2 linked regions of the Rattus norvegicus genome follow. The protein of the gene in region 2 purifies or fractionates together with the protein of the main gene of each other region. This does not show direct contact. Links are inferred from orthologs where the notes say so. Each region holds a gene or a part of one and is shown on either strand. Other genes may lie near its edges.

The links.
Region 1: the proteins of Ptpn21 (region 2) and Trip6 purify together in Homo sapiens (affinity purification with mass spectrometry; 3 studies listed by BioGRID and IntAct, with this or other methods). This does not show direct contact. The link is inferred for Rattus norvegicus from reciprocal best matches to the Homo sapiens genes PTPN21 and TRIP6.

What each region holds. Positions count from the first base shown.
Region 1 is NC_086030.1:25,025,695-25,027,955, forward strand, and holds the end of Trip6 (thyroid receptor-interacting protein 6), read left to right. Parts: intron 1-733; coding exon 734-912; intron 913-1,162; coding exon 1,163-1,283; intron 1,284-1,404; coding exon 1,405-1,536; 3' UTR 1,537-1,672; downstream 1,673-2,261. UniProt on the Homo sapiens protein: Relays signals from the cell surface to the nucleus to weaken adherens junction and promote actin cytoskeleton reorganization and cell invasiveness. Involved in lysophosphatidic acid-induced cell adhesion and migration.
Region 2 is NC_086024.1:123,724,919-123,728,671, forward strand, and holds the start of Ptpn21 (tyrosine-protein phosphatase non-receptor type 21), read right to left. Parts: upstream 2,892-3,753; 5' UTR 2,797-2,891; intron 55-2,796; exon of another isoform or gene 1-54.

The DNA.
Region 1 (2,261 bases), on a different chromosome or scaffold from region 2:
TTTGAGATAATACGTCGTGTGTCCCAGGCTGGCCTGAAACTCTTAGGTATTTATAGCTAAGGAAGACCTTGGGTATGGGGATTCCAGGTGTGGGCCACCAGATCTGTTCTTTGTGGTGTTAGGAATGGAACCCAGGGCTCTTGCATGCCGGACAAACACTTTACCAACTGAGCTACAACCCCAGATTAAGGAATGAGTTAAATGTGGACACGAGCTGAAGGAGAGGAGGAACAGCTCGTGCTGTCTAAGTGGGTGGCCACCTTCCTTCCTTCCCTCCTTCCCTCCTTCCCTCTTTCCCTCCTTCCTCCCCTCTTTTCCTCCACCTCTCCTTCCCTTTCTCCCTCCTTCCTTCTTTCCTTCCTTTGAGACCGAGTCTCACTACGTAGCCTAGGCTGGTCCTGAAGTTACAGTCTTCCTGCCTCGGCTTCCGAGAGCTGAGAAACCAGATGTGTGCCCAGCTAGAAGGCATTTTAGAGTTGAGGTAATTTGTAAAAGCCTCACAGCATTCCTCAGAGGCAAGCACTACTGACTCATCTCACTGAAAGAGGAAGTGTGCGGAGACCAGATTCCTTGTCTAGAGGCTTCAGTGCCCGTATGAAACCTCAGAAATGCTAAGTCCACCTTCCACTGAATGCTCTGCGGGGAACTACACACACCACGTGGTTGGGCAGAGAGTACGCCTTCCTGGCTGGAGTGGCTTTTCCCCCTGACCTTCCTTCCTCTTTCCTATTAGGCCACACTGGAGAAATGTTCCACATGCTCTGAACCCATCCTGGACCGAATCCTGAGGGCTATGGGGAAGGCTTACCATCCTGGTTGCTTCACCTGTGTGGTGTGCCACCGTGGCCTCGATGGCATCCCTTTCACAGTGGATGCCACCAGCCAGATCCACTGCATTGAAGATTTCCACAGGTCTCAGAATGCCTGCTCTGACCTATCTCTTCATGTCCCAGGGTCTGCCTCTTCTTTTTCTATCTTTTCATTCTCTTTTTTTTTTTTGACATTACTTTCTTCCCCAAGACCGAAACACATCTCTTAGATCCTTCTCTCACACACCCTCCTACCCCCCAGCCCCTTCCACTCTTATTGGGCTCCATTATGAGCCTCTTGAGGGGTTGGGAGGGAGGGATCTGACAGCCTCTTTGGTTCCCCTCCCCTGCAGGAAATTTGCCCCACGGTGCTCAGTGTGTGGTGGGGCCATCATGCCAGAGCCAGGTCAGGAGGAGACAGTGAGAATTGTTGCTCTGGATAGAAGTTTCCACATTGGCTGCTACAAGTGTGAGGTGAAGAGGTCACCGGGCAAGAGCAAGAGCTTTGCAGAGCCTGGGAGGCTGGGAGAAAAGCACGGTGGGAAAAGTCACAGAAGAGCTCTCAGACTAATAGAGGTTTTGTTTCTCCTCACAGGAGTGTGGGCTGCTGCTGTCCTCTGAGGGAGAGTGTCAAGGCTGCTACCCGCTGGATGGGCATATCTTGTGCAAGGCTTGTAGTGCCTGGCGCATTCAAGAGCTCTCAGCCACCGTCACCACCGACTGTTGACTGCTCTAAGAAGGACCTGCTGGGATCTCAGTCCCCCTCTGTTACCTCCCCTGACATCTACCCTTAGTGTTTGCACCAAATGCTGTCTCTTCTTCCTCCCTTCATGCAATAATAATCAGTGGAGTGTTTAAAAGCTCTTGCAAGTCTGTTCTTTCATTAGAGTCTCATAGGATGAGGCTGGGTAAACCTCGAACCCCAGCACTCAAGAGGCAGGGACAGACTCTGTGAGTTTGGGGCTAGCCTGGTCTACATACTAAGTTCCAGAACAGCCAGGGCTACGTAACAAGACCCTGCATATATTTTGTTAACTCTCATCCTGTACTTTTTTGTTGTTACGTAAATTAAATGAACCCATTTATAGTAGGCTAGGGATGTCTCAAACGGTTGGATCTCTACTGGTCTTTCAATTCCTTCAAACTTCTGCTGGCAGATACAACAGAGGAAGTGGTGTTGGCAGGTCCAGGCCCCACCAGCCACTGTTCTCATGTAGAAACCACAGTGCCGGATGCCAGTGGCCTGTTCTTTTCATCTTGCCATCGCTCCAGAAGGAGCAGATGATCCTGATGTGCTCATCGATTTCAATGTTCTGTGCCATTTTCCAGAGGGAGGCATCGGAGCAGGTCCTCTGTTTACTGATGATGCTGACCTGCTTGGTACATGTAGCCACAATGCTGTGACGTAGGCCAAAGCCAGAAGATAGTTTTATAAAGGACAAATTGTAAAAT
Region 2 (3,753 bases):
CGTTTCCGGGCGGACGTGCTCCGAAAGGACCTGCCCCCACTGTGATCCGATGAGGGAGGACTTAAAGGGCCGGCGTTGGTCCTACAGGCAGGGAGAGATTGGGCGCGCATTTTGAGGCCGTATCCACATAACAGCACCCCCCCCCCAAAACACACTACTTTTTTTGTTGTTGTTGTTCTTTTTTTCGGAGCTGGGGACCGAACCCAGGGCCTTGCGCTTCCTAGGCAAGCGCTCTACCACTGAGCTAAATCCCCAACCCCAACACACTACTTTTTAACCATGCTTGTTGATAGTAACTTCTGCGGTGAATGAACTGGGGACGAACAACAACTCGGGATGTATGTCAACTAAAAATATTTTCCCCTTAACAATTTGACAAAAATCTCAGCTATTTCCATCCCTCACATTGCCACCATTCTCACCTCTGCCCCTTCCTCCGTGGATAAATCTTTAGCTGGGCTGGATCCTAGCCGATTACCTATTTGGGTGCGAGACTGCGTGATGGGACAATCCGTCCCTAAGCCTCACAGGACAAACCGAACGCAGGCCTCAACCGAAACAGCTTTCTTGGTTTCACACTAATAAGGACCTAACTATTTTGTATCTCCCTGGCTTTCTCTATCAGTCCCAGTATTCCTTTCTGTCCTGCTCACAGTCTGAGACTCAACCACAGAGGTCATGGGCACCCGGCTTGTGGAATGGCTGAGCTAGAAAATGAGGTTTAGTTATGACCCTAGACTGCCAAACTTAACGTCTTGGGATTCCATTCCACAAATGTACTCTGCCTCTCTGAGCACAAGGCTGTAATGAGCATCTTAGGAAATCTAAGACGAACCCTAAGCCGTCTCTGTCGTTAAGGAGATTGCAGGCATCTATAATTATATTCAGAGCTGTATCACTAATAGGGACATGGTCAAGGTTCCTAAAATTTTTGTTTTGCTTTTTTGGAGCTCTCTAGTGAGAGCTCCCCCTCTCTTTCCAGAAAGACAAGTTTAAAAAACTCGGGGATGAAGAAGGCCAGGGCGAGCAAAAGGGGAAGCCTATAGCACTATGTTAGTAATTGCTGGATGCCTTACTTGGTTAAAAGCCCTATTCCATAGAAGGAATTGGAGGTGTGGGGATGGGGTGGGAGTGTACTATAATAAAATAGAGTCTGTCGCAATATTTTTCAATATTCTTTGCTGTTTCTAGAGTATAAACAATGGAGCAAAACTGAAAAAAAAATCAAGAAAATGAAAATACTTTTAAAAACTTCAACAAGCTTTTAACCATAAGATACACTAATAGTGCTTCCCTAGACCTAAACAACAACGAAAGTGTAGAATACCAAGTATTGTCTCATAAGCCTGTAGGTTTCAGACTTCAAACCGTGGCAACTGAAACAGCAAGGTATATTTAAAAAGTTCTGCATGTCCAAAGGGAAGACATCTGATTTATATACTGTCAAATGTGTTAATTTCTTCACTATAAAGATGGAATTATGCCTTCAACACAGTATACTATACTATATAACTTAATTATTAACCTAAGTTCTGATTAGGCAAACTCAAAATTCCAGTTGTTGCTGAGATTTGGAATGTTTTACAGCATTGGGGAGGAGGAAAAACCAATGTTTTCTCTTTTTTATTTTGGCAACTGTTATAATTTGATTGTTATATTTGCATGCATTTTTCTCCTAAGAATGTCTGGTTTCTTGATTATTCGTATAAAGCCGACTGTGGCAATGCTTGATTAATATATATCTCAATGATGCCATAAATTATGTTTGCATATTACAGCCAAGAGGTAGAAATTTAAAATACTCTGGCGAGGATAGATTTAGGTGCCAACAAGTAAATGAAATGGAGTATTAAGAGCCTTTAAAAAGAAAAAAAGGGAACAATTTCTCTACAAAACCGTTCCATTATAGAATAAGGAAAGATACATATTAAATTCTGCTTCACAAGTTTACAAAAGGTGGTCTGCACTGTTATCGAGTCCATTTTTCTTAGCCATATTCCCTTCCAAAGATTTCCAACGTTTACCTTAACGCTGAGTCTCACCAGATACCACACTCAAGTCACTCACCACTTGTTCATGGAACACCGCACTATTCCTTTAACACTAAATAATCAATAAAAACAAAGTGTCTGACATTTTTAGAACGTCTATATCTTAGTGCCTTAAATCAATCCTATGTCTCTCGCAGAACATTTGTACATTGATAATCTATAATTAAATGGCCTACAAACAAAACAACTATTTTCAGTGTTAAACTGTTGTCTTGCTCAAAACTAAAAAAGAAAGAAAAAGGAAAACATCGGCTAGTAACTATTACACATACTGCAGTGGTACACTGGAGCTCATAAAGATTCAGAACGTGTTTTCTAACATTCTCTATTATCGTAAGGCTTTCTTGGCCGCGGGGGCTGGGGATAGGACAAGCATGCTCAGAGCAGCCAATCTAAACAGGGTTTGCAGAAATCACAAGTTGGAATTTGCAGATCCAAGAATTCTTCCTCCAGGAGTAAAGACGCCCTGCTCCAAAACCGAAACAAGGAGTTGCCAAACAGATCTTCGGTTTTTGTCCCTTGTTGCCAAAGTTATACAGCAACCTTCATACTCCACATATTCCGAGAGGCACAAATATGCCCAAGATTTCAAACCATGATCCAGAATTAAGCCGCAGCCATCCGCGGAGGAGTCCGGAATAGAAGTTCCAGACTCTTTTTAGAAATGACTAGGAGATCAGAGCAAGCCTGGCAAGGGAAGACTTTGCTCTTTGTTACGCCCCTGCTCCAGTCCCCCGCGCCTCACCTGCTCGGGCTCCCGCCTGGTCGGGGCCGCGCTCCGGCTCTGCGTCCCGCCTCCCTGGGTTCCGCGCGGCCGCCGCGGCCGCTAGCGCTCGCCCGCTCGTGTCCCGGACCCGCGCGCCGACCGCACGCTTTGCCCACACCAGCCGGGCGGCGACAGCACTCGCTGGGGGAGCTCGGGGGCCGGGGCCGGAGCTGCGGGGCCCGCGTCCCTCCCCTTGGGCCGGGCGCGCGGATCCGGGGAGGCGGCGGCGCGTGACCTCAGAGAGTTGGAATGCGGGCGGCAGGGCGCGGGGGAGGCCGGACAGCTGCGGCCGGCCGCCGGGGAGGGGGCGCGCCGCTGCTGTTTTTAACCGTGTGACCAGTTATTTTAAGTTTCCAAATAAAGCAGAGCTTTGAAGAAAAGAAAAAAAAATGAGGTGAAGGGGAGGTTATTTTGAGTCCAGGTAGAAAGGGTCGGTTGCATTATTAGGTGGTGGTCTGTCAAGTAACTGGGTTACTGGAGTACTCTTGTACACTGCTGGAGATCATTCAAAACTTTCTGCACCCCACCCCACCCCCTTCCAGTGCCTGCTCCTCTGTAGGAACTCTAAACTTAAAGAGAGGTGGGAAGCTGACCCAAATGGGGAGTGGGCTGGAGGTGCTGCTCCCCAGAATCCACTCTATAGGGATCTAGATCTCCCCTAAATGTCTGATAGCTCAGCTTTACCTTGGGGAACCACCCGGAAGGACTACTGCCAAGAGGTAACCATGCAAGTAGCGCTGAGAGAACTGAGGAGCTGCCCCACCAGGACTCCAGAGGATTAAGACCTCCTCGGGAACATGGTCCCCCAAGGAGAGCTGTAAGCATACTCAGTGCAGAATAGAGCTATTGAGGATGGAGGCTCTGGAGTCAGATTGTTGAGATTCAAACCCCAGCTCCAACTCTTACTGGCACATTCCTAGCCTCTGTGTGCTTGGG